Linked DNA regions of Yarrowia lipolytica. The protein of the gene in region 4 binds, or shares a complex with, the protein of the main gene of each other region. Links are inferred from orthologs where the notes say so. Each region holds a gene or a part of one and is shown on either strand. Other genes may lie near its edges. The genes, in order: YALI1_F24151g, YALI1_D18190g, YALI1_F05781g and YALI1_A09626g.

Region 1 (6,835 bases), on a different chromosome or scaffold from region 4:
CGGAAGCAGCGACCGCTGAGGTCGGAGCCCATGAAAGGGATCGTTTACTGACCCATAATAAAACAATACCAAAATATACAATATATATGCCGCTCTATAATATGAAACATCGTGATGCGTTTTTTAAACACGGATGTGAAAATATATACATCCCAGATAGACATGTTCGTCAACAAACCCTCAACTACTTGTACCAAGATGTATAATGGTGGATGTCACAGCAAGCATCTTCTCCTTATTATTATAAAAAAAAAAAAAAAAAAAACATAAAACATAAAACATAAAACATAAAACATAAAACATAAAAATAAAAAAAAAAAAAAAAAAAAAAAAAGGAAGTAACACTCGAAGGAGATTACTCACGCCCTAGATCCTACCTACAAGGTGCCTGACGTTTCAAGATGCGTTCACAGCCCCCATTATCCGTTTACGGCACTTCTTACTCATTCGCCTGTGCGTTCAGTACGGCTACAAGTACCCCCATGCACCCGCCTTAGTGGGTCACGTGCAGAATATTGCACGAACTACAGCAGTGTGTTATGAGGGGACAAGACAGTGATAAATCTCCAGTAAAAACTTCGAAATCCATTAGCATACTGAATAGAACTCACACAGCTCCTGCCTTACCAAGTGCCCTAACCTCAGACTTTGGAGCGTTCCACGCCTTAGATATCATCCCCAAGGCACGATATGTTGCTCAAGGTTTTCCAAGCATCCTAACCGTTCACTAATCACACACACCAAATCACACCAACATGACCGCCTGGAGCAAGTACAGCGTGCCTGTGGTGGCTTCTGTCATTATGGCATCGACCAGTGAGTAACTCGACCTTGATTCTCAGCTTTTCACCCACTAACACAGCCTACTTTTGGTTCAAGCCAATCATCATGTGAGTATAGGAACTACGAACCGGCTGCTCGAAAAAGAAACAGCTACAACAAGCGCGTCAGCTACCAATAACCATCTCAATCAACAGCTAACCAAGTGAACAGCTGGCAATCGACGGAAACCTCAAGCCCGGCGTCAAGATCGATCCTGAGATTGCTGAGAGCATAGAGGCTCGAAAAGCTGCTCTGGCGAACGCCCAGAAAGTTGAGATTCCTAAGGGCGGTCCTCTCCCCAAGGATGGAAAGGAGTAATTGTGCATATAGACAATTGATATGTTAACTGAGTGGACTACCCATGATCCGAGGACGTGGTGAGTTGACAAGGGGTATGAATCTGATGTAGTGATCTGGGGTAGATGATCCACAAAACAGATGCAGCAGTTAGATATCTGAAGCCATAGAGCTCATGTCCGTCCTCTATGATATATATACAAGTTGTATTCAAAACATACTGTTTATGTAGGTGCCTATCTCGTCTCGCTACCAGCCTCCACAACCCTACACTCTTCTTTCACCAACCAACCAAAAAACATATATACATCATATTTACATGAGACTGGGCAGACTTATGCCGGATCTGATTATTTGTTCATCTTGGAGACGAAGTTGTTCTCCTGCATAATGGCCTTGGCTCGAGCCTTCTGGGCCTTTCGGGCCGCTCGCACGGGGTCGGCAGCAAGCTTGGCTTTCTGGGCCGCGGGATCAAGAATGTCCCACAGCCACTGGGGGTATTCTGAGTCCTCCAGGGCCACGGGGTCCTGGCCGTTCTTTCGCACGTTGCAACCCTTGAGAACGGTTCCTGCGGCGACGCTGGAGGGCACCTTGGGCTGCGAGGGGGTGGAGTATGCACGCGAGATCACACGGAGGGGGGTGGCCCGCGATCTGGTCAGGAGTCGAAGCATGTTGTGTGTAGTTGTGTGTAGTGACGTTTTTGTCGTTTTCGATATGCTAAGTTTTTCAGTTGACGAGGACCATGCTGAGGGTTAGGGATATGAGGGAAGCACTACTTGTGGTAGCCGGCAATAAAGAAGTGGCTAAAATGGATATATGAAGGGCTGCAAGAAACACAAATACCCGCGAGTGGTTTTTCCGACGTGTTTTGGAATAGTTTCTCACCAAAAAACAAAAACAAACACAAAAAAACATATCGTAATACTCACCCATATTCCTCTTACACTCCATCGCTGAATAAGCACCTTAGAGACGCACGAGTTTAAAAAATTGTGAAGTTGGTGCAGAGTGAGAAATCAAAGAACTTCATAGACATCCTTAAGAACACACAAAACCACGAAACACAATGGCAAAAATCAAGCGAAAAGCCAAGCACACCAAGCGAGACAACCCCATCGCCCGAAAGGCGTCCCAGGCCGCCAAGGACGACCGCAAGGATGAAAACACACGAACCACCAAGATTCTGCCTCTGCTAGAAAAGCTCAACGGCGGCAAGCCCGCAGACAAGTGCACTGCCATTGGAATGATCACAGCTATGGTCGAGGATCCTAAGCTGCGACAGATGCTTCTCAAGGAGTCGCTCATCCAGACTGTGATCGACAAGCTGCTTCCTGACGCTTCCGAGGAGGTTGTCATGGAGTCGTACGGCCTGCTGCGAAACATTGTCCTGGAGGAGGGCTACGACGTGGCCGTGTTCATGTTCCGAAAGAACGTCATCAAGATTGCATCCGACTCTCTGGAGAAGATTGTTTCCACCTGCCAGAACATTGCCAACGGCTCCCAGCAGATCCCCAAAGGAGATCAATTCACTCTACTGTGCGAGTTTGCCGAAAACATTCTGTCTCTGCTCACCAACATGGGCGTGACTTCCGATGACATTTTCGACGCCATCGCCTCTTCGCCAGCTGGCGTCCAGACCGTGGCTGCTCTTCTGGAGCTGCGAAAGACCAAGGCTGAGTTGAATCCCAAGTTCCCCTCTGCTGTGCTCTCTGCTGCCTTTGAGTATCTCTACACCTTTTCCGAGTCTAACCCCGAATTTTACAAAACCATTCCTTTCGACTATAAGATCTACCTCGAGGATACCACTCTACCCATCGCTGCCCAGGTGTTTGTGTGGGGTCTGCACTACAACATCTGTGTCGAGAGCCAGGGAGTAGGCTCTAAGGGCCGAGACGCCTCTCTGTCCGAGATTCTGTCGCGACTGCTCATCATTTTCAACTCTAACTCTGCATTTGCCGACCTGCAAGCCAAGCAGGATGCTGGCTCCAAGGACGGAACTGTGGTTGCCACGGACAAGAAGGACATGGACGCCATTGAGGCCCGTTCCACCGTGAACGCCCTCCAGGTCATTCTCGAGCTCATTACGGACATTGCCGAACAGGTCACCTGGTCAGGCGTGACCGAGGAGCCCGAGGACGTCGACGAAGATATGGAGGTTGACATCCCCCAGGACATTGACTTTGGCCATGGAGACAAGAACGGCGCTGAGGGAACTGCCGCTACTTCTACCATCAACTTGCTTCTCAACGAGGCCTCTGCTGTCATTGAGAAGGCTCTCACTTATGCCCCTCTCGAGTCGCGAGCCATGGCTGCTCTCAACAATCTGGCATGGACTATGGCATCTCACGAGCCCACAAAGGACTCTGAGCAGTGGCAGGGAGCCGCCCAGCAGCTCTGGATCAATGTGTTCCCCATGCTCGAGAAGTACGAGGGCGAGCTTGCTATTGACTCCCTCACATCTGCTGTTGGTGTTCTTTGGGCTGTAGCAGCTGCTCTGGACTCCAAGATCAACTCTCTGACTGTTTCCCAGTCCGACTTCATTCTGGCACAGATTGAGCGAGTCACCAAGGCCACGGAGACTCTCACTGCCGACGAGATTGCCGACTATCACCAGCGAGCTGTTGCTCTGGTTGGTCTTCTAGCAATGGCTACCGGCAAGAGTGGCTCTCAAGAATCCATTGCCCTGGTTGAGAAGGTTGGAGAGTACCTTCTCCAGCTTCTGGAGGCTCTTCCGCAGACCCAAACCCAGGTTGCTCTACAGGCCGTGGACAAGATCTTTGACATCTTTGGCGACAAGTACCCCTACGATGGGCCCGTATTTGTCAACAAGGGCTACCTGAAGCGACTGGAGCCTCTGCTGCCCAAGGTTCGACACATGGCCAAGAAAATTAACAAGAAGCAGAACCCCAGTTTGCGGGAGGACGCTGATGCTGCCTCTCAGAACCTGATGCGTTTCATCAAGTACAAGGCTGACGGCAACTAGACAGGTTATCTAGTGTATTGAATAAATAGATTAATGACGATGTTGTAATGATAGTGACTGAGTGAGTAGATATAACCCGACCTTTGTATCGTACCTGTACATGTACTTGTATCGTGCTGGGTTCCCTGGATGTACTGTAACCTAATTTTGAATATTATCTCCATGCATGATATTTTCGAACACTCATTTCGATCTCACACGAACACACACTAACACACACAATCACCACAATCATGACGGAGCTTAAGATGTGCACCGTGTGTGCCTCAAATCAGAATCGATCAATGGAGGCCCACAAGGTTCTCAAGGAGGCCGGGTTCGACGTGGAGAGTTACGGAACGGGAAGCGCGGTCAGACTGCCAGGTCCAGCGTACGACAAGCCCAACATCTACGCCTTCGGAACGCCATACGATGATATTTATAACGAGCTCAGTGCACAAGACGAGCGATTGTACACAGCTAACGGACTGCTGACCATGTTGGATCGAAATCGAAAGATCAAGACGGCTCCTGAGCGATGGGTGGAACACAAGAACGTCTTTGACGTGGTCTTCACCTGCGAGGAGCGGTGCTTCGAAGCTGTTTGCGACGACCTGATGGACCGGGGGGAAAAGTTGCAGCGACCTGTGCATGTTATCAACGTGGATATCCGTGATAACCATGAGGACTCTGTGATTGGAGCCCAAGGCATCTTGAAGCTGGCCCGGAGTCTAGCTGACAGCAAAGACCTCGACGCACAAATCATGGGTATCATGGACTCGTGGCAGGAGCAGCATCCCAAGCTGCCTCTGATGCATGCTGTTGGCTACTTTTAGACAGGACCAGAAGGACGTGTATCTCACTATTGTATAAATTATATATTTAAAAATGCTTCATTATTAGATTATGTTGATGGTGACGATGATGGATGGGGTTTATTGTGTAGCCTCCTTTCGCTTTCTCCACTTTTCATTAGTCACATCGGGAGTGTCAAGCATCTTTCGCTTACTGATGGGAACGTAGGGGATCTTCCGAGAGAAGCTTCCAGAGCCGTTGACCACCGCCACTCTGTCGCTGTCGCCGTCTTCAGCACGGGGGAAAGTCCGTTCGCTTCCAGTTCGCTCAGCAATGTGCTTCATCATAGCTAGACTGAGGGTGCTCTGGAGCATGACGTCGTGCCAGTGCTTGAAATTGGAGTTTTCCATTCGCTCCTGGGGCATGGCGTTGGGAGTGATCCATTCGATGGGCTCCTTGAATGTACAGTCATAAAGAACCAGAGGAACATCGTGAGCCATGTCGTACACGGGGCGTCCAGGATACTTTTCGGGGTTCAGCAGATCGGTTATCACGCTTGGTTTCTCGAGTTTCTGGCCCACCAGGAAGAGAATAGCCATCATGCATCGAACCTGGTGCCACAGGAAGGCTCGTCCCTTGAGGTTGAAGTAGTAGATGTCGTCCGAGAGCTGCTCGATCTCGGCCTCTAACATGACTCGGTTGTGGTGTGCCAACTGCTTGGATCCATCCACCTTGCAGAAGTTTCTGTAGTCGTGTTCACCCAGGTACAGTTTGGCAGCCTGTCTCATTAGATCAATGTCCAGATCGCCCTTGTGGAAAAAGTATCTATAGTGCCGGTATTCACAAGAGAATCTGGAGTCGAATCCCTCGGGCAGTCTGAGAGCCACAGAGTAGATTCGGATATCTGGTGGCAGCAGCTGGTTTAGAATGTGAATGTAGTTGAGCTCCTTGTTGTCGTTAGCGGCGTCCTGCTGCTCCTCGGGAGACAGCTTGGATCGCACCTTAAGAGCAATGACCTGAGAGAAGGCGGACACGCCTCGGTCTGTCCTTCCGCATCTGCTAAAGTCGAGATCGAATAGACTGGCCGACTCGGGGATCAGTCTGCACCGTTGCATGGCAGACAGAATGGTTCCTTCGATAGTGGGCAGAGGGGTGTCTTCATGCTGGACAGCCAAACCTCCATAATTCCAGCCGAGATAGGAAAAGCGGATCGCGATTTTTCGAACGGGGTGCCGACTAATGTCGTAGCTCTCGTTTCGCTTGGCCTTGGAGGCCTTGACCGGCGGGTCTGGCACGGCTCCCTGGGCGGTACTAGGGTCCTTGCCCTCCAGCTCGAAAATGCGATTGATGAGGTCCGCTCGAGTCCATTTCTGATACTCGGCCATTCTGGAAACTTGGTGTGGCGTGAACTTTAGCTGTCGTGTCGCTTTCGGAGCGGAAATCAGCCGTTTTAGTGCAGCTATCAGAGCCATGACAAGATTCGAGCTGGGAATTTTTCATCACTAAGTTGGGAGTGTCGGCCTGCATGTAAGCTGCACAGAGTACGAGGCTAATGGAAATAATTTGGCGGTGAGAAAAAAAAGACCAAGCACACTCACACAACACAAAACATAATGTCTACCGACTGGAAAGACTTGCCCGTTGCGCCATGGCTGATCGACACCATGGAGCAGTTCGGATTCACCGATATGACCCCTGTCCAAGCTTCAGTCATCCCCATGTTTGCAGGAAACAAGGACGTGATTGTCGAGGCAGTCACTGGCTCAGGAAAGACCATTGCCTTCCTAGTTCCTCTGATCCAGCGAATGCTGAATCTGCTGAAGGAAGGACCGGCTGTTTCTGGCCGAGTCTACTCTGTGGTCGTCTCTCCTACCCGGGAACTTGCCCGACAGACATATGAAGTGCTGCAGTCCATTCTGGAGATGGGATGTCCTGAAGCCGATGCTAGCGACAAAATCA
Region 2 (6,663 bases), on a different chromosome or scaffold from region 4:
GACAATTGCATCAGTCATGCCTCGCTTTCCGTGGATCTGGAGAGCCAGAGTAAAGCTTTTGCTAGGGGGAATCACCACCTTGTCATCCTCCTGGAGCCACTTGAGGGGTCGGCGTTTTTCCAAAAAGTACTCCAGTTCGTAGATTTCCGACTCTGGCAAGTCGCGCGCCTCTGAGATGGCCTGTCGGAGAGGCTCGAACGTAGAATCGCTGAAGTTGACGTTCAGAGACGTGCACTCGACGAGAGAGGAAATGTTGTGGAGTGTGATGTTACACTCCAGAGTCTGACCTTCCAGCAATAGCAGCCACCCATCTGTGAGACTCAGATCTGTAACACTCAAAACAGGTTGAGGAGGAATCAAAGTGAACGAACTACCACTTTCGCTGATCTCGTACTCCTGGTTGGCTGAGCAGCCAAGCACAGAAGCTCGAACAGACGTGAGCTTGCAAGTGATGATCTCGTCGGTCTTCTCCTTTGCAACGACAGGGGACACAAGAATGAGCTCTGACACAGAATTGGGAGCTAAGACGATGTTGGTCAGAGGGCGCGAGAGGGTGACCATATCACTAAGCAAGAACAGCTCTGAGATGTGTACCTGGAACAAGTAGGGATTCTGCAGACGAATCACGAACTCACACTCCTCGTTGTTAACGAGGGGGGAAACTGTAGCCGAGGTGGTGGAGTAAGAAAAGGGAGTGTATAGGATGCCCTTCTCTTCTGTAGAACCACTGGTAAGCCGCTCATCACGACCAAATTTGACAGGAGGATAGAGCATGTGACCAATAGATGCGGACCGCACCAAGTTCAAGTCCCAGTAGTCGACATGTATCTTGGAAATATCATGCGCCTTCTTAACAGCCAAATACGCCTGCATCTGATCGTGCCGATGGAGAGTGTCCGCAGTAGTACTGAGCAACAGACTGTTGTATCGAGCAACACCCTCCCAGTCAGGAAGGGTGGCGCATGTCTGTGCACAGAGCTGCAAGACACGAGTTCTAAGCTCGTTCCATCCTTGCCCCGATGGAGACAGCTTCTTGTTACCGTAATTGCACACTAGAGAGTCCAAAAACGAAATCGCCGAGGTAATTGATTCGGTGGAGTCGTTTCGCAGTTTGGGGAGCACCTGCTCAACCATCTGGTAGACAATGAATGATCGCTTACGACCCATTCCAACCTGCTCATAGGAATCTGCCAATGAACCCAGCAGTTTGAATTGATCTGAAACGCCCAAATTCGAGAGATTTGTGGAATAAAGTCGGTTTCCCCATGTTCCAACTGCAATGGGGGGAATTAGGCCATCATGGGTTTTGGTCTGGTCCACAAGATACCGAATGAATCGTATAATGGTCTCACAGTAGACAACTTGGGGGACGGCATCATCCTGCGACGACTGAGAAAGCGAGTAGAAATGCAAAACCTGCTCAGTAATCGAAGGCATTATCTCAACGAGAGGCGGGGTCCCCCGTTTGAAACTGCTTTTTACCATTTCAACAATGTCAGATGGAATAGAGAAAGATTCTCCTGCGGAGTCAAGCTGGGTCATTGAAATGGCGGCGCCTTCAGTGGCAGAGCCAAGCCATAGATAGTCGCCAGCAGATTTCAAGATGTGGATGGAATCCGTGAACTCCTTCAGAGCACGTGCGGGCTGCCCCGCCAACAAAAACAGATGTCCTCGCAGCTTCGCATGCCGTCCCTTGTTAACAACCTCCGGGTTTACAGACTTGGTCTTTGTATGGGACACTTGACCAGGTCGTTCATCCTTCAGAGTGAAATCTTGAGTCAATGAGACACTTCTTCGGTCACTGGAATGTCCCTTTACCTTGACGGCCTCACTCAGAGTTCCCAGCTTGAAATTGGGACTCTTCAATCCAACAGGCAAGTACGACATCTCCAACGTGGCAAGCTGCTGTAAAACATTGCCTCCAATTTCCTCCAGAATGTCACTCAATGTATCTGTCGCAGTGGTCACAATCTTATCCTCTGTGGAATCCTCCAATCCTCCATCTGTGTTCAGACTGATGATTCTGTACACCAGCGCATTAGGGTGGGCTTTTCGCAGCGCCTGAAGACTGTCAGCAGAAACTCCACTGAGACTGTTGGTAACTGCAACCACCACCAGCGTTCGCTTCCATATCTCCAGATCGTCGAAATGGCGCTTGAGCAGATCCTCCTGGCGCGTCACGTGATACTCAAACCGCAGCAGCGAGTCGGCGCTGTAAAAGGTTGGCGTTTCGGGCCGCCGCGGCTTCACGTGGCCCACAGACTTGAGCTGGGTCACGTGACTGTGGAACTCGTCCAGCGTGCAGTTTAACGGTACTACTGACGTCCGGATATGCGTTGGCGACGAGTAGGCGTACGTCATGCTCATTTGTTAAGGAGTAGGGGAGTGTGATTCGTGTCGAGATGTAGTTGGTATGATTAGGGTTTCGGTACTGTACATACTGTAGGGAGGTTGTGCAGGATGCAAAATGGAGAACGTGTTTGTGGATAGATTTATAAGGGAATTTGAATGTGTGGCGGTTTCTTCTTGTTATAACAGATGATGAAAGTAGATTTTTCGATTTTGGTACTATTCTGAGTCATAGTGCTTGTGTTGGGGTAGATTACATGATCGTCGGGTGTAAGTGTGATGATCCTGGGTGATACGAAAGTGTTAGAGATGGGTTGACTTGATAAAAGGAACCAAGGTAAGTATTTTATGAGTATAGATCAGCTTTTTCCCCCGTATCATGATTCTAGTAGTTCCTCAAGTGGAGGGAACATATACTAGTATTAGTTAACTACATTAGTTGAGGATTTGTTGAAGAATGGTGCTGATGGCAACGTGGGTTCGATTCCCATCAATGTTTGCAAACAGGCCTTTTCTTTTGGTTATGTAATCATGCATAGTGAAACTTTCGTTTGGTATGTTGAAATAACTTGTGTTCGCGATCACTAAACGCCACTGACCAACCTACGCCGCCCGTGACGAGCCTGTTAAACACCACGACTCTCTGTCCTTACATTTTCGGTGTTGTCATCCACCCACACACTTCACAAACGCACTTGCACACAGCTTCATCTAACTAGACGCCCTCAGATAGTGTCACCACGCGCCGACACCACCACAAGACCGCACAACCATCACATCATCACAACCACAGCTCGACTGCTCGTTTGTTTGCGATCAAAATGAAGTTTGAAACGCCCTCTCGATTCAAGTTCACGCCATATCTCGAACGAGAGTACCAATTCGGCCTAGACCCCAACCGGCCATTATGTCGAGGGTTCCTTCAGTTTGACGGATGTCCTCGAGGCAACTCTTGTCCTGACAAGCATCTGGCTCCCACATTTCTCAACAAGATTGTGTGCAAACATTGGCTACGAGGCCTGTGCAAGAAGGGCCTCAACTGCGAGTTTTTGCACGAGTACAATCTCCAAAAGATGCCCGAGTGCCAGTTCTATGTCAAGAACGGCTTTTGCACACAGTCACCAGACTGCCAGTACCTTCACATTGATCCCGCTTCCAAGATCCCCGTGTGCTTCAACTACGAAAAGGGCTTCTGTAAGATGGGACCCGAGTGCTCAAGAAAACACATCAGACGCATGCCCTGCGAGCTGTACATGACGGGCTTCTGTCCAAAGGGACGGGTATGCGAGTTTGCACATCCCAAGTTTGTCGGCATCTACGACTACATGATCATCAAGCCCAATCCCAAGGACAAGGCCAAGGACGAGACCAAACAGGAGACCAAGGAGGAAGCATTACAATAAGATCGAAACTCAACTCAAGTCCATAAACATATATACAAACAATAGCATATTTATCACAATAAGAGACGTAGTGTAGGCGTGTTCAAGCTGTAGACGTGCTCATGCTGAATACTGAGCTGGCACGCAAGGTAAACGGGGTAGAGCAGTGTTCGAATGCCCTAACATGCCACGCAGGTCCAATATCAATGACAGATGGGGATATTCCATTATATATAATCGCATTTTTCGTGATCATCACTTTGAAGGTGCAGAAGACAATCCTTGAGGGCGCAGAGACAATTCTTGAGGTGCAGAAGACAATCCTTCACCATGTTCAATGGCGAATCTGACTGTCATGAGCCCAACCAATTGACACGAAAAGAAATGATGCCGGTTTGTCTTGATCCATAAAAAAAGAATCGTCTGTTATCCAACAGCTCGACAACTGCAGGATTCGAACCTGCGCGGGCAAAGCCCAACAGATAGTACGATGGTTCGAATCTGTCCCGTTAACCACTCCGGCAAGTTGCCTTGTTTCATTTCAACTGCGTTGCCATGGTTTTGATCCGAAAAAACGCGGAAAAAAACAACAAAACAACTTCGTCGCTCATTCCTCTGAGGCGGATGTGCGGAGAGGAATGAGTGCCGAGGTTGTTTTTTACTCTAGGAGCATTATTACGATGGCTGGTACATATGACGTACTCGTGAGGTCTGCTCACGCTAAACATACACGCTGACGTCTCTGATCAATGATGAATTATGGAAAGAAAAAAAAAAAACAAAAAAAAAAAAACATAAACAACCAAACCTTCTTTCAACTCCCCGATGGCTCAAAGACTCAAACACGACACACACGAATCATACTCACGATCCCTATCCGAATTACATCTTCTACGATCTTTATGAGAACAAACTGAACCAACCTCGAGTCTGGATAAGACATGGAACGATTGATATGATTTCTTGATCTGTTAGCCATGATTCACTACCACAAGACCACAACAAGGACTTGAACTAGACGAAACGTCGACGAACCAAATGACAAGCAAGCAAGTCTTCGTCTATGTTCAATCTCGAGTTAGTCATGTGTCTCGTATACTCTTCTCTTGTCGTGGACTCTACTGTACTCACACGAAGGGGTCTCATACAACAGCCAGCAAGTCAAATGTCTCAAGTACAAGAGTCTCAGAGTGCTTTACACACGCTATGCTGACTCTACATCCGATCTTGGTCAGTTCATTGGAGCAGTTCTGAATCGCCCAAGGCACCACTTCAAAGTCCTGAGCAACCAAAACCAGAGCCAAAGAGTCATCTTTCAAGCTCCACAGCTCATTCTAGCTCTTCTACCTCCTTTTTACCCGCTTCGATCACCTGAGAACGCAACAATGATCACACCAGCGTCGAATTGAGTCATCACTGCATATCCCCTATGATGGCAACGCCGTTTGAAACAAGGTCAAATAGACTCCAAAAGAAGCAGAAATTGTACCATATCATCAATGGGTCCTCAAATCTGTACTGTGCAAAAATCACGTCTCTAGCTGGTATAATCGCTCCGTTGGCTCCCCTGTATTGTCCGCCGGTTGTGTCATATCAGAGTTATGCTTTGGCCTAAGATCAAGGTTAGGGGTATGCACGCCACCAGAAAATATATATACTGTACATGTATATATTCAGGGACATCTGCATCCCAGTCCAGTCCAATCACTAGACAGAAAAAATGACAGTGAAACTTCCGTTTTCGAAAATTGACTCGGAAGAATTTGCCGAGGCCGTTCAGCTCGAGCTCCTGGACCGACTCGAAGCTGCCTCCCAACAGACCGGCAAGGGCAAGGCCCGAAAGCGAAATTATGTGATCTGGTCCAACAGTGGAAAGATGGAGGCGGATGAACAGGGACGAGAAATCACAGGATGGAAATTCAACGAGTGGGACTATGGTAAACCCAAGATTGTCCTCGCCTCCCAATCACGTGGGCTGTTCACCCGAGACAACAAGATTGTGGTGAGAGGATACGATAAGTTCTTCAACATTGGAGAGGTGGCTACCACAAAGTGGGACTGGATCGAGAGCAACGTGCGGGGTCCCTTTGAAGTGACACAGAAGGAAAACGGCTGCATTTTGTTCTTCTCTGGTCTTGAAGACGGTACCCTGTTAGTGTGCAGTAAGCATTCTACGGGGCCGGTGAACACAGGCGACAAATCCGAGTCACCAGAAGTCGAGCCCCTTGACCAGGCTTCTTCTCAGGATCTCTCCGAAGTGAACATGTCGTCGGCTAGTCGGGACAAGGGAGGCAGTCGAAGTCATTCGTTTGCTGGTCTCTTGCACCTCAAGCGCCATCTCAAGGCAAAGGATCTCACCCTGAGAGACCTGGCCCTTACACTGCACGAGCTTAACGCTACTGCCGTTGCGGAACTCTGTGATGATGAATTCGAAGAGCATGTCCTTGCTTATTCTGCGGAGGAGGCCGGAATCTACCTCCACGGTCTCAATCTCAACACCCCCACCTTCAGCACCTACCCCAGTTCCCGAGTTCGGGAGTTTGCCGAGACATTTGGCTTGCGCCATGTCAAGACGCTCGATTTCGAGTCAATCTCTGATCTCAAGAAATTCCTGACTCTTTGCGACGAGACTGGGCAGTACGAGTCGAAGGATATTGAGGGCTTTGTAGTTAGAGGAAAGACTGGCAACTCTTCCTCAGACTTCTTCTTCAAGTACAAGTTTGACGAGCCTTACTTGATGTACAGAGGATGGCGTGAAGTGACTCGAAAGCTGATTAACAAGGGACGGGCAGAGGTCCACGTTACCAAGCATGTTCACATCACCAACCAGTATTTGGATTTTGTGGAGCCCATTCTAGCTGCTGACAAGGCCCGTGCTGATAAGTTCCTGGATGGCCACGGTATCATTGGTCTTCGAGACGAATTTCTGCAC
Region 3 (9,705 bases), on a different chromosome or scaffold from region 4:
GAGCCGAGGTCCAGCGAATTTAAAAAAAAAAAAAAATCTCTTGTTGTCATGTCGTGTAACCATGGTTACGGGCGTAGTACGATACGAATACGAGTTGTCTGGCGGTAACGAGAGAACTGAGAATGTATAACCTGTTTTGTAGACATTTTAGCCAAAAATGACTCTACAAGAGTATTTAAAAGGTTCAAAAGTTCCGTTTAATCAGTGTACGAATTTTCAATGCTCCAGGGTGAGTTTTGGCGGAGGGTGGAGATACTGGGTATGTTCCGAGTGGAAGTTGTAGTGTTTCTAGTTTGTGCAAATATTGATGTTGGTTTTGGTGTAGTAGGCCAGTTGCTCACCTCTGCTGGTGAACGTTAGATTTTTTGGTGCTTTGGAGTGATTTTTGGTGCTTTTGTAAGGAGATTATAGATCCAGAGATAGCTCTGAACTTGTCTTGAAAAACGGTCTCTAATGCAACTTTCAAATCTCTAATCAGTGCAATTTTGAAGGAGTTATGTAGATATCTACACCAATCTCTTCGTAACAGCGAGTCACTATACTCTAGGGTCCAAAGTTATAAAGAGTGCTGGATTATTAAAAGCGAGTTCAAAATAATGGTCCGTGGGGTCCAGTACCACCAGAAAAAAAATTCAACTCTACAACCTCTCTATCCACACATTCATTCATTAGTATAGTTAAGACAAGGTATAAGCAGAAGGGTTAGAGTGAGAGCTGTTAACGAAATGGGGCGGCATTCAAAGGTTCCATAATGTTCTGGGTCAATTCACATTTTCTCATCACATTCAAAACCTGTGTTGAGAAAGGTGACGTCGCTTTCGGGAGAAGGCATGGCCGGGGAGTCCACCGAGCTCTCGTCATCTCTGTTTGTAGTGGTCGAGAAAGGTCTCAGTCTGTTCAAGAAAACTGTCTTGAGTTTCGATTCGGAGGGCTGCACGTGACCGTCTTTCAGCGCGCTCAGGAGATAATTGCTCTGCATCTCGTCGTCATGGACTGCGGTGGCCCAGATGGAAGACAAGGGCAAAGACAGAACGACCATGAGATAGGCCACTCCGGAGAGAATCCACGAGTTCTTTTCGGGAAGAGCGTAGTTGACAATGATGAGAATAGAAGGCACGACGAGTGACTGTGTCGACATGATGACCAGCACCTTTGTGTATCCCAGGGGTTTTTTGCCCAGGGTTTTTCTGACTCTGATGGCGGTGACGAGTTTGGCCAGGAGCACGAGAGAAGCAAAGGAAATTGAGCAGGCAAAGGATACGTCGGAGGCGAGCCGTGTCCAGCCCATACTTGGCAAGTCACGTGTCGGATGAGTCAGCACGATACACGAGACGATGGTGTGAGTGGTCCAGAAGACAAAGACGACGAGGGACAGCAAGATGAGCCCCACGGTAACGTAGATTCGAGACTTGAGCCAGGCATGAAAAACTGATCGAGTTTGAACCGCGAGAGAAAGTTGCACGGACATGATCATCAGCATCATAAACACGTTGGTGGCCACAGACACACTGATGTCGTTGGAAACATTGGACCGTGGGTCCACAATGTAGGCGACCATCATGAGCATCGAGGCAAAGGGTCCTAGCAGGAAGCGGAAGTACAGAGCCGCGTGAATAATGAGCATGATAAGCGACATTTGGTTGGCCAAAAAGAGGATCTTGGTGCGGTTTTTTTTGCTGATCAGATGCATGGCAATGAGGGTCAGGACTGCTGCTCCTACTCTGACTCCAAACAGAATGGCCAGACGCAGTCTGTTTTGATATAGTTGTTCGAGAGCACCGAGAGGCATTTGACCGAGCACCAGCTCGGTTTCCGGGACCGTTATTGATGCCACCAGCGTGGCAATGTCAAAGTCTGGCCGAGGGGGTAGTTGCATTGTGGTTGGTGGTGGGTAAGTTGGTAGTTGACCAGGGTATCATGTTCAGGAGGCTCGTTTATATACGTTTGTGCATGCGTTTATGTCACTTGTTTGTGCCCCCGTTTCCTGCTCTCTCCATTTCCCATTGACATCGCCAAATAGAGAAGACGAGTGCGACCTTGTGCATACTACATGCGCTTGGGTTAGGGATAGAGAGATTGATCTGGTGGGATCAGGGGAGATCAGGGGAGATCAGGGGGGGCTCTGAGTGGGATTTTCGGGTGGTATCACGTTATTAGAGTAATTATGGCCGGTCACGAAGGATATTGATTGACATGATTGTGTGTGGTCTAAAAAATACCAGAAATGATGATTGTATGCCAGAGTTAATGGATGGGAAGGTTCTCTTTTTTGGTGTGGCCAGAACAGGGACAGAAATGGAGGTATGGGTAAAACATGCATTTTTGAAGATGGTAGCTGGGTATTGGAGGTGAGTGGAGATTGGTTCTCTGAGGGAGGTATTTCCCCTTTTTGTGCTATTCGTGTCAGTGTTGCACTTTTCATCAGCTCCCATAATTTCTCCCATACTGTGGCGTGTTTACTGGAACTGATACTGTACATGCCTCAAGTACAAGTACAGTATATACTGTACACTCGTATATATTGTTACGTCTGCGGGGTCTGTTAGCGAAATGTGGGTCGTTTGATTGGCTGAAAATTGGAAATTAATTTTAATATCCGCGATATATTATTGTTCTGTCAAAATTTGGTCTGTTTCTGGACACTTCTTAGTGGACTGGAAGGACCCTTTGATCTCTTGTTGGCAGGCAGTGTATGTTCGATCTTAGCTCGTCAGAATGACGTTAAAAAGGGGAAGAAAAAAAAAGAAAAAAAGTGAAATTTTTGGGGCTTACAGAGTGTGTTTTTTTAAAGTGGAACTTATGGGGAAAATACATAGCGGGTTTTATGATAAATCATAGTTGATTGAATCTATGCTACAGTATTCCCACTTCCTTCGCTCAGCAGCTGGACCTGAGAAATATTGGGTGTGGTCTTCGCCTTCTAACTCACGTGACCTCTGGAGTTGGTTTCCTGAGTTCATTGTGATCATTTTGATACCATAAAGTCCAGTTTCTGTTTTTTTTCCAGCTCCTTTTTTGTCCGTTACCATTCCCACATACTGCGAGTACATCTTGTCTGGTTGGTACACCACCCTACATACTGTAGTCGCATTCTGCTTCAACGATCCAACATAGCTATTGGCGGGAGTGAAGCAAAGACGCTAATGAGTACTGTATTGGTAGCTTCCGGGAAGCATTTCGAACACAATCTTTCTTTTCCACTTCCCTTTTTTCTTGTATATTCTCGTTCTAAGATGCTACAACTACTTGTAGTCGTCCTCGTGCTTTAATTTTCTTCAGTCTAAGTACACTGTGTACACTACATCCTATATAAAATATAAAACATAAAAAGAGTACATACCGTCGAAATTATACTTGCACTCTGATCACTCCAATTGTGGTAATTTTTGGTCTAATAGAAATCTGAAAATACCATTGAGATCAGCTTGGAATTTCTAATACAGTACAAGTGTATAAAGCTCTTCAGAGTGACGCTGCCAGTATTGACCATTCTGACCATCCAGAGTTCGTACAATATGCTCTCTTCAATTAACTCTTGTAATCTTCATGTAGAACACCCAGCTTTATTTCCCCAGAGTGTCTTCGATTTTGGCCAAATTGACGCCCAAAACATCACATTCCTTCAAAATCCCATGATAAACATCCTTCAATTCTCCGTTTCATCTCTCTCCTCGCCAATCCCATTCTTGGTCCCTCCCCCCGTTTCACCTCACACCCATGAAATACAGTCCAGATAAAGTTTGCCAGTCCCAACTCAACTTTCTCCCGCCCACTGCACACTGTCTTTGACACCACACACAAGACAGTAATTGTACCAATCGTTTGTCAATCGTTTGCCAATCGTTTTTCGATCGTTTTTCGATCCTTTTGCAACCGTTTGTCAACCGTGTTCGATCACCATGTCATTAACAGAACAGCTGGCGAGTCTTGGCCAGGTCGCAGACATGGCCGCCAAGGACGCCGCGCTATACGAGCAGTATGTGCCGTCTCTACTGGAGCTGGCTTCTCGTCCCGAGAAGGAGCTGCAACAGTGGCTGGCGGACTTTCTGCTTGATGCGCTGGCGTCGGTATTGGCGCTGGAGAAACGACGCGAGCTGGCGCTCAAGGCGCTGACGGTGGTGGACAAGTTGCTGAATGGAGAGGTGAGTACTATGTGACTGTAGGGACTGGACAAGATCAAGTGACCCTGACCTGCCTGAGGTTGCCCTCAGCATTTTTTAAGTCACATGACTGTTCTTGTGACAACGACGCAAACCGCAATTGTCAACTGTAATGGCCGTTGTGTCTAGTTTATGGCGTTGTACTATCTCTGAGTTGGACGTTGATCCGACAGACGACCCACTGCGTGATCGACTCAACGTTTAGCTTGCGGGGTTTGTTTTCTCGACAACGTGGACTGATTCAACGACACCAGTATCGACACAGATCCAGACGTCACACTTTTCCACACGTGACTCTTATCCATTATTGTAGAACTTCGGCGACCGTGTTGGTGGCCCCCCAGTATGCTCCTGGAGTCATCATCGACTGATTGCATCTTTCTGGGTCCACCATCCCAATGCTGTCAAGGACAAGAACATGTGTTTGGGACAAAAATGACATAGCAACTAGACGGAGAGACACGCATCAGGTCATGTGACGTGGCAGGGGAGGTTTTTGGCCGTTTTGCGTTCCCCACTGACAGACGGTTGACGATCTAGCCTAGCGCATCGCAGTCTTTCGCTATAGAAAATGTCTGTCTACTTAGTCAGTGGAACCGTCTTTGCATCACTGACAATGCTTCATTAGCTATATATGCGAATTGAAGCGTTTCAGAAGTGCCAACAGATCCAGTGTTTCTCTCCAATTTTCGGACAGGCGTGCCTCCTACTGCTTGACTCCTGTGGATTCTGGTCAATTCTGGCTGGACATGTAGCTCTGGTTGTCTATTTCAGTTGTTTCTGCCTCCAGAGCAACTATGGATATTGTCCCTCTGACTGCACCGTTTTTGTTACTGCTGTCTAGGATTGATGTATGTCTTCTAGACATATGTCTTATCTAGAGAGGAGTTGCTGTCGAGACTGATGTTGTCTAGAGATATGGTGCTGTCCAGAGACATTACTATTCTAGAGACATCAACTCCCGATTGTCCGCTCAAACTCTGGTATTCGTTGTATTACGTCCTACTGTTGTCCGCTTAGTCCTCGGTCCTCGGGCCTTTGCTTTCGTTTCCCACTAACCCAGCCCAAAACCCCTATTCTCCTTTCCGCCCTCATCTACCCCCTGGTCTTCTCCGCGGTCTCCCTCAACCCGAAACTCTCCTCCGAATGGTCCACTCTGACCTCCCTCAAAGAGCGGATCACGTCCATCTGGAGCAACGACCCTTCACCCTCGGTCGAAATAGCATGCATCAAATTTGCCCAGCAGCTCGTGCTCGTCCAGTCACGGGGCCAATCAGGTCCTGCTGACCCGCGTCTGGCCGCCAGATCAAAGCCGTCAGCCGAGGCCAACATGAGCATGGTGCCGCCTAACCACCCGCTCATCCACAGATCACTCGAGGCCGAGGGCCAGGGTAGTCTGGACCGCCTCCTAGGCAACCTCACTGGTGACGACTTGTCACATGACAACCAGAAAATCGCAGAACCCATTTTCACAGCAACCGTGTTTGCTCTGGCCCCCATTCTCAAACAAAGACCCGAGTACGGCAACAGAATTCTGCAAACGGTGTTGGCGGTGGACCCGGTGGCTATGGAGACGAAATTCACTTCCAAACTCGCCGTTCGCTTCTGCGAAAAGTCGCTCAAAATGCTGGTTACCCACTGCTTACGTAACAAGATCCACGTGCAGCTGCGACACAGAATGGAACGGTTTCTGGCCGAGGTGGGCCGAAAACGACCGGCCCCAGTCGACGATCACGTGACCAAGCGCCAGAAGACGGAGGAGCCGACCACCAATGCATCTACACCTACTCCTGTATCCATGAGCACCACCATGCCCCCCAATGCAGACTCATATAGCGCTCTGTTCACTCTGATTCCTGCCAACGACCCGTTGGTGGCTTTCGACGCCCGGACGTTACCCCAGCAACTGGCGCTTCAAATCGCGCTCACCGGTTTGCTGAGCGTAGACGAAGCGGTTCTTAGAAGTCGAGTTGGAGTGGTGAAGCAAAGATGGGACAATTGGCAACAACAAGAAAAGGCCAAGGAAGAGGCCAAGAAGTCCAGATCTGAGTCACGTGATATCCAGAACAGACGAAGCGAGTCGCGAGACTACCGGTCCGGGTCCCGTGAAGACGACGACGACGAGAGGGACGACTCCCGATCTCGCGGACGGGCTCAGTCGCACAACACCGGTTCCCGCTCTCGATCCCGCGACGTCTCCATGGAATCACGCGACTCTCCTGTTTCACGTGATTCCTCGCTCGACTCCCGAGTTTCTTCCGACTATTCACAGACCGAAACCGACTCAGCAGTCACTTTCCAACTGCCACCCCCCGAGCCCCTTTCAGAGTCTGAAAAGCTTACGGCCGGAACCGAAATCGTGTCGCGGTTTTTGACACAAAAGGACGTAGCGGTGGCAACAGCCAAGTCGCTGGATATCCAGAAGAATGCCATTTCCAAGCTGGCTATCAACGAATGGACCGGCGGTTCGTGGATGGTGATTTTGAGTCGATTGTTGAGCCGTGGTCTTGCTTATGACCCCGAAACCGAGCCTGCCGACTCTCTCAAGGTCCAACTTTCCACTCACATTCGAAACCAGCTGTTGAACATGGCCACTACGGCGTTTACAGCGAATTTCGAGGACGTCATGACCTGGCTCAACGAAGAATGGTACTCGGAGCTGATCCGGTACGGTAAAGTTACTCCAGCCACGTCTGTCTACTACGAGTATGCTTCCCGTATCATGGACACTCTTGTTCAGACCATTGATCCCGACAACTGGAAGTATTTCATCAGACTGGTGGGCGAGCTTCCCGAGCTCGATTACGGCCTGGTTAGTAAGCTCAAGCATCTTCTGATTGACCCTGATCGGTCGGTTATTGGTGTTCGGTCGCTCAAGTATCTTATCATGCTGCGTCCTCCTACCCGAGACTACTGTCTCGATGTCATTGAGGAGGTTTACCAGGAGAATGAGAGTCTGAGAGGCGGTTTCAAGCAGGTTCTGGGCAAGTATAGACCGTTGGTTGTTGAAGGAGTTGAGAGGAAGATGTTGGAGGTGAAGAAGGAGGAGGCTTCTGAGGAGCCCAAAGCACAGGTGAAGCAGGAGCAATAGATAATGAAGAGTTATGAACTTGTAGAATGTATTAGAGGAGCTGTAGTGGAAAGATGGGGAGTTATGAACAATACTGACAAAGAGACAGATGAATCCAAAGAAGATCTCCAGCGACAGATAGCGGTAATATGTCGGCGACACACGATTATTCTCTCCAAGTAGGGTCTTTAAACATATTGTAATATGGATTTGGCAAGATGGAGCCAGGTGATAGATACTACTGCAAACAACTCGCTTAGGCCAACCCACTGCAAGTTTCCGTTTTGAAAACTCTCCTCTCCAAGGTCGTCACGAGTGTAAGCAGGTCGTCTTAGCCCCGTCTGCCTGAGGGTTTCCACCAATATTTAGCCAGAGGAGATGTGAAAGAAACAAGAACCATTAATCAAAACCCCACCACTATCTACACGTTGCCCGCCACTCTTGTTACCGGGTCGACTGGCTTAACAGCAGCCCGAATGTCAAATACGCCCCTAAGGCAGATGCAGATGCCCCCAATTCAGGTCATACCGTCATTGGCACTGCTTGAGAAGAGTATGCCAACGATCAAGAGGTACCTGGTCAATGGCAGACTTGTGATTGAATGACTGGGCGAGACTAAGAGTGAAAATGAGCTTGAAAATGTCTTCAAGAAACTTTCTACGGTTATGGAATTGTCACTGTCCGAAAAAGACTGGAATACTATTACTCGACAAGAGACTGTGGCTCTAGGAAACGTGGTTTTCAACTACGTTGGAGCCAAGAAGTTTGCTGAACTAGTGTCGATGGATTTATTGAGGAAAATCTCTTTTGTAGTCACTTGGATTAACCAACTTGACTACGAGAATCTCAAAATTTCGAACCGAGTGACTGGTGAGGGTCATTGATACATGGTGTGGATTGTTACCTGGTTTCCCTGGCTGATGCTAGAACGACGGCAAACGCTATCTTTTGTCCGTGTCATCAAGTTCTGCTCCCAGTTCAAAGCAAGATTGCGGTTGGAGACAAGGTGATACGCAGAAACAGCTCTATACAGCCTGCAACTTCGACGGTGAATGGCTTAGCAGGAGTGATTGCTGTTCGCAGCTGAGCTAAAGCTCGCACGTCTACTCGGAGCAGACCTGTCTGGAAACTACTAGCTGGGTTTCTGATATGTATATATATATTGTTGAGTTTGATTAGCAGAAGAAAGTCTCTGATTGGGCCAGTATTTTTTAAACGTTTCAATTGAGAAGTTACACCGGTCTACCGTCTATTATTGATGGAAGTATTCTGTCAACGAGAAGACAACATAAAGGACGCTCCTATTCAGCTGAAAATGTTCGTTTTCAAAGTCAGATTTTTTGTCATGGGACCTAATTCTATGAATGAAGAATCATGGACTTCAAATACCAATGTCTTTTCATTATTGTGCCATACTATGGCCTCCAAAAACGCCTTCAAATGTTCCATATATTTACTTTTATTAAACTCAAAATCTTCCACTTTCGCGTTTTTTGATAACAATTCTCCAAAAAATCACCAAAATGGCCATGAAAATGCTCCATCGGGATTTGAGCCGAAGCAAATCGACTCTACTGAGTCTCCTAGCGCTATTTTCCTATTAATTAGCGCGAGCCCAAATTTCTCGATGGCGTTGATTTTTGTTCTTCGATTTTAAGGTATACAGTTGAAAAACTACAAGTAGTTGTCTTTGTTCAGATGCAGGTCCGTTCAACTCCTCCTTGGAGTGGTGATAATCGGGTGAACAATAGACAGACCACTGAACCAAGAAGGACCAAATCAGAAAGCCAAATCAAAAGACCAAATCGCGTTGATAGTTCTCAAAACTGATAATAACAAAGCCAGATATCTTTTTCCCACTACACTACAGTACATACTTAGAAGAGACATGATAGGATCTTGCCCGTACGACCTCTTTTCCCTCAACTTCACTCTCGTCATCAAGTCAATCAATCAATTACACCAAACAATACAAACTAGAAATAATAGCTGTTGCTATCAGCTCACTATCTGGATCGGATAATATCATCCCCACATCTAGACTCGTAGATTCGGGAGTCTGCATATCTGGATCGATATCGTGGGTGGCGGGAGTTGCGGAAGTTGCGGGAGTCACGGGAGTCACCAGAGCCTTATGAATTACTGTAGTCACACGCGCAACGTGAGCCACGTGAGCCACGTGAGTGGCTAGCCAAAGTCCCATTCGGAGTCGAGACGAGAGTCATATCTAGACCCCGAGTCGTATTAGTCATAGGCGTGGCTCACTGATTGGGCACGTTACAAGTTGTTAGAGCGTCGGGAGTCGTGTTGAAGGGAGTCACGGGGTCTGGACTGGTGTCTCGAGTTGGAGTTGAAAATTTCCGAATCGAGCTGTCGTCTGTCTCTAGAATCATATCTGTCAGAAAGTTTCAGGTCGTTCTTGTGGATGTACTTGGAGAAGACATCCCAGTGGTGCATGTTAGTCGGGTGATATGA
Region 4 (7,754 bases):
AAGTTGCTGCTTTACTGATCTGTGAACAGAAATGAAGTCTATCCCTTCAACCACATTACTAACTCCAGGTATGTTTCACGCTCTCATTATTATTTGCAACATGATGAACCATAGCACTGGGCACCGAAAAATAATGAGTGACAAGCTTAAAGAGGGCCTAGAAAACCCTCGTTCACTGACAGAACAATAGCAAATTATTGTGTGTCGGGTGTGCTTTCGAGTTGTTATCACACATGTACTAACCTCAGTTAATACATTCTTCGTTCCAACCCAATTCCTAAACGTGAGTATTTACAGACGTTTCGCTCAGTCCGTCCACCTTATATGATGATTCCCTAGATGACGAGTCAGAATGGGGCTTCCCCTTGACGATACAAACTTTTAATACCATTCATGCCTTCTGAAATGATGGTCTCTTTGAAGATCGTATCAATGCATGAGCTCAACTAACCCAGGTTTATTCCTCGTAGTCATCAGACGACAATGCCTACAACACCCTTAGAATCGGTTAGAATGATGATTTCAGAAAAATGACAAGCATATGTCTGACTCTCAAGTGGAGAAAAATTTTCTTACGTCTGACTAACCGTGATCAACAAATTGGTGAGTATTATTAACTTTGCGACAATTGGATGATGATTTACCACAATCACGACGGTCTACTGTGCCCCGAAAGGGCCTTGATGATAATCTGCCTGTGACTAGGCGTGGAGCTGATATTCTTAGTTATTTGTTCCGTCGTTTGAAATATACTAACCCCAGAGAGTGATGAGTTCGTTACGCGCTGAGACTGGAGATATATATCATAACGCTCATTGAAGTGCAGAACTACTTTGATACGATGTAGTTTGCACAATACAGATGTCCCGTCTACTGAACACTATTACTGTAATTAGTAGTTACTTTTACAAGGTACTCACCAATACGTATTTTTCATACAAGGAGTTGTTCTGCGAGCGTCATACAAACACCTGAAGTACTTGTACTCGTACAGTAGAGCGCAAATATCCAACATGAACTATCTCATGTCTAATTCACGGACTGTACGGGTACATGACACAACGAATAACACCAATATGTACATTACTACGAGTACGATACATACAACGGCACTTCATCATGGTGTTTTTATCAACAGTCATATCCCTATAGCTTACACAGCAGGTTATACAGGGTACTTGTGGGATGAATCCCACGTTCTATTAGTTTACATTTTAACTGTTCTCTCCACCATTTCACCCACACAACCGTTACCTAATTAGACGGTCTCCTCAAAGGCTGACTCGATGGGCTTCTCGAGCAGGGCAGCATGGCCAAGGATGAGGAAACCAGAAGAGCCAACAATCCAAAGCACAGTGCTGATAGGAGAGGCGAAGAATCCAAGGGGAATGGCGACAATCATGAGACCAGTGTAAAGCTGGGAGGAAGTAAGAGTCGTGAAGCCAAGGTTGAGGTCAGATCCTCCAAGAAACGAAATTCCGTACAGACCAAGGAAAACAAAACCGATAACAAACAGCAGCAGCCAGTTGGTGAGGAGAGAATAGAGAGAAAGGAGACCGAAAATGATGGCATAGTTGGTGCTGAAGTATCCCAGGTTGAAGTTGATTCGAGCTTGAGCTTCGCCCCAGGTCGGGGGCTTGGAAATTCGTCGGAAATCGAAGAAGTCGGTGGGGGACTTGAGATTGGCAAATCGGTTCTGGAGATTCGCGCCCTCAGTCTGTGTTAGTCCAAAGCTCAGAAAGCGCAGATCCAGAGAATTCCCTTCGCCTCCATATGCTCGCGGGTGATGGTACCTCAGAGTACTAGAGGCACACCAATGTTTTCAATAACGTGAGACACGTAGGGGTCGCTATCATCGCGCTGGCTCAAGGACGTGTTCGATGGTCGCTCACAGTCGCGCACCCTCTAGACTTCTTCACGTCACTGAGGATTCTCAGGTTTAGCGCCATATGCTTAAGTGCGTCACATTCTGCTTACAACAAAGAGTCGAGCACGGGATGACCATCTTCGTCTCACAGTCCACACAGATTTGGGCAAGCCTCATCACGGTGGATTACGGTCGCGTTGTGAGACAAATTTCAACAGCATTGAACGTACATCAATAACGCTTCCGTTTATTCTCAATACCATCTCTTTTTGAGACTTCGCGATAGTCTCGTATTAATTTCACCATGCCCATCTCCTTGATGATACTCACTCTTAGTCGCTCGAGGTTGAACCGTTCAGACAGGCCAGACAGCTGTAGTTAGTAAAAGTTGGGATGCGAAAACGCAGGGGTCTCATACTTACTGAGCTGGATCCCATAGATGTGATAGCGTCCATTGTTGTTGTTGTTGTTTTCGGTGAACACCAAAGAGCCGGTTCAGTATCAACGAATTTGTGGGAACAGTGTTTTTTTATGCATCCCACACGATAGCCTACGTGTCCGTGTTTGGGTTAGGGTTACGTTTCCGGTATGTGAGTCACGTGATGGACAAACACAACTCTTGCAAGTACAGTACTGTACTTGTACGCGTGCACAGGACATACTGTACGATACCTATTTTGTAGTCTCAGGGGCGATGTATGTCAGGCTGTGAGATTCTCTGTAGAAGTGGCAAAATCTGCATTATCTTCATGACCACCGTGCTAAAAGACAGAAAAATTATGCGACCGCTGCTTTAGACCACGTTCCAATTACTGTACTCGTACAAGTAGAAGTACATACATACTGTACAAGTACATACTACATACTATACTCGTACTTATAAGTACAGTGTAGAATGGCTCTTGTCCAAGCCTCTGGGACGTCCCACTTAATGCTGCTGCTATACAGTATGTATTGTACAATACAAGAACAAAATGATCTTCAATAACTTGTACTTTTTTTTGGTTTTTTATACTTGTACTGTGCGATAGTTGTACGATAGCTACAAGTGTACCAAAGTTGCTACTAAATACTGTACTTCGCGTGCATGAATGGACTGCACGTGGTATGGGATGACTAATATGTTAGTGTTCTTAATATCGGTGCCATCTTCATGGGATTGTAAGCTAAGGGCGTGCCCAGAGAGGTCACTGAAGGGGTAATTCGGAATTATTCTACAAATTTCGTTATAATAGCACAATCATTTATCCCATAAATTTGGTTTGGGTACGGGTTACCCTGTCGTAAACGTCGGCATAATAAATAACTGTACGTTCAAGTACTGTGGCACAACGATAAGAAGAACTTCGTATCGAGCGATAGGAGCCATGGTAACAGATTATGTAGTATACCGATGAGGTGCCATATCGTAGCTCTTCAACATCCTAAAGCCCAAAGCTCTTAAAGCCTCACCTAGTACTTGTTGTTTGAACTTCGGTACATGTACTGGCTCGAATGTCAAAAACACTGTGATGCCTTAAAACCTGTATTTACGCCACCTGCAGTGTTACATAATCAACGACACTTTTCATTATACTTTTAGAGAGCTTGAAGAAGTGCACACCACACCAGTCATCCAACACAACTACTAATCAATTTATTACCTCTCCATCGCAGCATGTCATTTGTATACTACAAATTCAAGTCGCAGAAGGAGCCGTCCAAGGTCGTATTTGACGGCACATCCATCTCTGTGTTTGATCTGAAGCGTGAAATTATCACTTCTAACAAGCTGGACAAATCTGCGGATCAGTTTGATCTAGCTATTGTCAATCCCGATACGAAGGATGAATACAGAGACGACAACGAGCTGATTGCCAGATCTTCTTCCGTACTGGCACGACGACTGCCCTCTCGACCAGGCAAGGGCGAGGCCGCTAGGTACGTCAACGGAGCGCCTCCAGTCACACGCTACAGACGAGACGATCAAGAAGTAGTGCAACCAACATCAGCAACACCAGGATCTACTGGCACTGGAGGAGCCGAAGATGATCTCATCAATGCTATGTTTGCTGCTCAGGGAGAACAGTGGAAGGAAACACAGAAGCAAATGGCCTACCAAACCCCTGTCTACAACCGACCCTCTTCTTCTGGAAAGCCTCTTTCTGCCAACTCCAACAACCCCCAGGCAGCAGCTGCTCAGGCCCAGTATGGAGATACTCCGCCGGAAGGATACATGTGCCATAAGTGCGGTAAGAAGGACCATTTCATTTGGAACTGCCCCACCAACAACGATCCCAACTGGGAGGGAATGCGAATGCGGCGAACCACCGGTATTCCCAAGTCATTTCTCAAGACTATTGCTAAGCCCAACCTCAACGAGGACGATCTTGATGGTAAGTCTGCTGTCTTGATCAATGAGGATGGCGAATATGTGGTGCAGGTAGCAGATCAGAAGTCATGGGAAAAGCAAAAGGCTCGTGCTCGACATGCAGTTGAAGATACCAAGGCTAAACGAAAGGCTGATATCGATCCCGAACTGGTATGCCCTCTAAGCAAGAAACTGTTTGACCACCCGGTCACAACTCCTTGCTGCAAGACCACGTACTCAGAAGATGCCATTCAACAGGCACTGTTGGATGGTGACTTTGTTTGCCCCAAGTGTGGTGCTGAGGAAATTCTGTTGGACCAGCTTCACCCCGACAAGGAAATGGAGAAGAGAGTGAAAGAGCATATTAAGAAAGAGCAAAAGAAGGAAGAGCCCGATGCAAAGCGAACCAAAACCGAGGATGGTTCTGCTGTTTCCCAGGCTGGTTCCTCGGCTCCTCCCAATGCACCAACAGGACCCGCAGGAATGCCCCAGATGCCTTTCATCCCTCCACAGATGATGCCATTCTTCATGAAGCAGATGGAGCAGATGCGAAAGATGGGTATGCCTGTGCCACCAATGCCCAATATGCCCATGGGTGGTGCTTCTGGCGGCCAGACGTTTGTGGCTAACCCCAATGGAGTCACCAATGGCCAGTTCATGGACAAGGGTGCGAGACGACAGCAGATGAACCAGAAGAGAAGATACGATGACCGTCGATGATCTTCAAAACAGCATTGTTTTGTATATTGCATGTAATTTATATGGAGTTTTGGGTTATTCTAGTCAAGGAACCCTTACTTGTTGTAGTGTGTATCAATTATGTGTGGATTGCGATGTTGGTGGGCAAGGGAGGTGGCCTGTGGCCGAGATATAAATATAATATAATCGTGTGCGTGTTTGTTGTGCGTATTTCCTAGTGAACACTAGGGAGCCAGTTGGCTTAGTATGTACGTCAAATGGGATGCCTCCTACAGTGATACCCGCGTCGGTGTGTCAGGAGTTCATACGACCCAATGACCTCGTAATGCGGATATTTCGTATACAGTTGACATACGATACGAATACATACCCGTCCTATACACCATCGGTACGTTCTTGTAACTGTACCATACAGTATGTACTCGTATAACTATGAATACAATTGCAGTGCACCGGTACTTCTTAGCTTCTCCGAACTACAAGTCAATCAATTGTCAAAAATCCCTCACTCGGGGTTGTCTATAATCTATAATACTTCTATAACTTGTTTACTGCTTCTTACCGTCGTTGAATTCGATGACGGCGTACTTGCCAGACCAGCACCAAGACAGAGGGTTGGAGTTGCCCTGCTCGACCCACTCCTTCTCGAGCTGCTTATCCTGACCAGGCTTGAGGCCAACAACAACATCTGCCTTGCAAGTTCGGAAAGACAGAATATGAACATCGTGGACTCCAAGGGGACCGAGTGCGGTGTGGAAAGACGTGTCTCGAGGCCACTCAGCATCACAAGTGAGCTTTCGGTAGTTGAGATCACCCTTGAGGATAACCAGAGCGGAATCCTTGATGTCCTCCCAGACCTGGGAGCCACCATCGATACCCTGAGGATAGATATCCCAGAAGAAGTGGGGGGTGGTCCAGAAGGCTGAGGTTCTGACAGACAGAGAGCCATCATCAAGGTATCCCTGAAGCTTAGAGACAAAGTAGTCAATCTGCTCTCGGCCTTCGGGGAAGAAGGAGGAGTCCTTGAGGTAGTTGATGGTCTTCACAAGATCGATGGGAAGAACATCAGAAACGAACCAGGGGATATTCTTAGGGTGGAGAATGACGTTCTTGGCAAGCTTCGAGTCAAGCAGGAAGAGGACAAGAGACAGGTCGGCATAAAGCTCAAAGCCGGCGTTATCGAGAATAATGTCTACTCGAGAGCCATCGTTCTGCTTAGAGTCAGCGTACAGAACGTCCCAAGCCTTCTCAATGTGGTTGACGAGAATCTTCTCCTCGTTCTTCTTTCGGACATCAGCTCCCTGGAGGTTCTTGATTTCCTCAAGAGACATGGTTGTCAGCAGAGAAAGATCAGTAGCGTTACCCCAGAGAGAGATATCAGAGAACTCCTTGAAGAGCTCCTTGAGGGTGGCCTCGTCAGAGACGCCGTTAAGCTGCTCAGCAAGGGCCTTGTACCGCGTAGCGAGCTCGGAGACACCAGCAGAAGAGGCCTTGAAAGCATCCTCCTTCTGACTGCTGAAGATGTCGTAAGTCTTCCAGTTCTTGGTCTGATCAAAGTAGACCTGGAGCTCTCGGTAGAGGTAGCACTCAACAAAGACCCATCCGCCCTGAAGCCAGGAAGTAGGGTTCTCCTTAAGCAGACGGTTGTAAACGGGGATGTCGTCGGCAACGTTGGGAAGCTCCTTCAGGGGCTTGTCGTGCTCAACATCGTGCTTGAGAGCGGTGATTTGCTCGAGGACCTTCTTGAGCTCATCTCGCTTCTCTCCCTCGGGGGTCTCGGCAATGGTCTTGTGAACATCGTCAATGACACCAGTGAGGATGTGAGGCCATCGATCCCGAGAAGAGGTGTATGCAAAGGAGTTCTTGTCGTTGTTCAGGTAGACCTGAGGGTGCTTGAAATCGGTAGTGGAGACAGTAGACATTTTTTTGTTTCTGTTTAGAGTCAATTGAGCAGTGAGGGTGGGCGGGAGTTGCTCTTTTATATGTGTCGTTTTGGTTACACAGCGCTATAGACCGCACACAGTTTATCCTGATTAACGTTACCTGCGTTGTTGGAAAGGGAACCCTATGACGAAATCTGACGTTGGAGGTGCACGTTGTTTTTGGGTTGACATGAAGACGTTTGGGACGTGTAGGAAGTGAGAGGTGCAACGTGGTAAACAGACAAGATGACACGGACTGGAGTGTTCTTAACAGTAAACCATAGGTACAGTAATCATGAACGTGCCATTTTATTCCCGAAGCGTCACTGACACAGTTAGGGCTTTGTGGGGGGGTTGCATCTGTTGTTTCTAGCACTTGTTGGGCACACCTCAACGAACCGAGGGATTATAAACGTAGACATTTCTGTTAGTTATTGGTATCCAATTGAACGCGTGAACCTGCTCAGTTCCATGGTGCAAAGCAAACCTTGTTATTGGTACAACCGCGGCCACTATTTCACTCACTAACCAACTTCCAGGATTGGGTTCATGGAACAACGTAGAACTTTGGAAAGTCATGTGATTAGCAATGTTACAAGTGTGAGTACAGTACATACTGTCGGTACAAGTGGAGGGTCATTTTTTAACCACAATGTAGAGTCTATACTGTGCCAGTACAGTACTTGTACTGTATTTTTTGGCCTACTGCTGGATCTGTGTTCACAAATGATAGAGCAATACAACCGCGCATCATATACAGGAACTTGTACACTCAATTGCAATAGCATAAACGTAAATCCACCACCACAGGGTGGATACAGTTGGTCATTCTCGCACGCCCTGTCTTTGCTCCTTTTTCAAACAAGAGGCGTATTATTATATACGGTCTTCCTATCTTTCACTCCTCTGTACAAAT

What was found.
Region 1: YALI1_A09626g (region 4) and YALI1_F24151g share a complex: the UniProt entries of both Saccharomyces cerevisiae proteins name them as parts of the cleavage and polyadenylation factor (CPF) complex. The link is inferred for Yarrowia lipolytica from reciprocal best matches to the Saccharomyces cerevisiae genes MPE1 and SSU72.
Region 2: YALI1_A09626g (region 4) and YALI1_D18190g share a complex: the UniProt entries of both Saccharomyces cerevisiae proteins name them as parts of the cleavage and polyadenylation factor (CPF) complex. The link is inferred for Yarrowia lipolytica from reciprocal best matches to the Saccharomyces cerevisiae genes MPE1 and YTH1.
Region 3: YALI1_A09626g (region 4) and YALI1_F05781g share a complex: the UniProt entries of both Saccharomyces cerevisiae proteins name them as parts of the cleavage and polyadenylation factor (CPF) complex. The link is inferred for Yarrowia lipolytica from reciprocal best matches to the Saccharomyces cerevisiae genes MPE1 and PTA1.

The regions. Positions count from the first base shown.
Region 1 is NC_090775.1:2,410,823-2,417,657, forward strand, and holds YALI1_F24151g (uncharacterized protein), read left to right. Parts: upstream 1-4,335; coding exon 4,336-4,917; downstream 4,918-6,835. Other genes in the region: YALI1_F24115g (uncharacterized protein), read left to right, coding at 756-816, 863-890, 987-1,140; YALI1_F24126g (mitochondrial 54S ribosomal protein mL54), read right to left, coding at 1,470-1,790; YALI1_F24130g (uncharacterized protein), read left to right, coding at 2,186-4,102; YALI1_F24171g (uncharacterized protein), read right to left, coding at 5,017-6,348; YALI1_F24173g (uncharacterized protein), read left to right, coding at 6,490-6,835. UniProt on the Saccharomyces cerevisiae protein: Component of the cleavage and polyadenylation factor (CPF) complex, which plays a key role in polyadenylation-dependent pre-mRNA 3'-end formation and cooperates with cleavage factors including the CFIA complex and NAB4/CFIB.
Region 2 is NC_090773.1:1,815,519-1,822,181, reverse strand, and holds YALI1_D18190g (uncharacterized protein), read left to right. Parts: upstream 1-3,170; coding exon 3,171-3,752; downstream 3,753-6,663. Other genes in the region: YALI1_D18198g (uncharacterized protein), read right to left, coding at 1-2,367; YALI1_D18167g (uncharacterized protein), read left to right, coding at 5,452-6,663. UniProt on the Saccharomyces cerevisiae protein: RNA-binding component of the cleavage and polyadenylation factor (CPF) complex, which plays a key role in polyadenylation-dependent pre-mRNA 3'-end formation and cooperates with cleavage factors including the CFIA complex and NAB4/CFIB.
Region 3 is NC_090775.1:573,638-583,342, reverse strand, and holds YALI1_F05781g (uncharacterized protein), read left to right. Parts: upstream 1-3,899; coding exon 3,900-4,141; intron 4,142-5,222; coding exon 5,223-7,251; downstream 7,252-9,705. Other genes in the region: YALI1_F05814g (uncharacterized protein), read right to left, coding at 767-1,876. UniProt on the Saccharomyces cerevisiae protein: Essential in pre-tRNA processing. Component of the cleavage and polyadenylation factor (CPF) complex, which plays a key role in polyadenylation-dependent pre-mRNA 3'-end formation and cooperates with cleavage factors including the CFIA complex and NAB4/CFIB.
Region 4 is NC_090770.1:958,385-966,138, reverse strand, and holds YALI1_A09626g (uncharacterized protein), read left to right. Parts: upstream 1-3,524; coding exon 3,525-4,937; downstream 4,938-7,754. Other genes in the region: YALI1_A09654g (uncharacterized protein), read left to right, coding at 69-170, 249-283, 456-466, 527-603, 763-788; YALI1_A09638g (uncharacterized protein), read right to left, coding at 1,259-1,717, 2,198-2,239, 2,290-2,322; YALI1_A09593g (uncharacterized protein), read right to left, coding at 5,465-6,838. UniProt on the Saccharomyces cerevisiae protein: Component of the cleavage and polyadenylation factor (CPF) complex, which plays a key role in polyadenylation-dependent pre-mRNA 3'-end formation and cooperates with cleavage factors including the CFIA complex and NAB4/CFIB.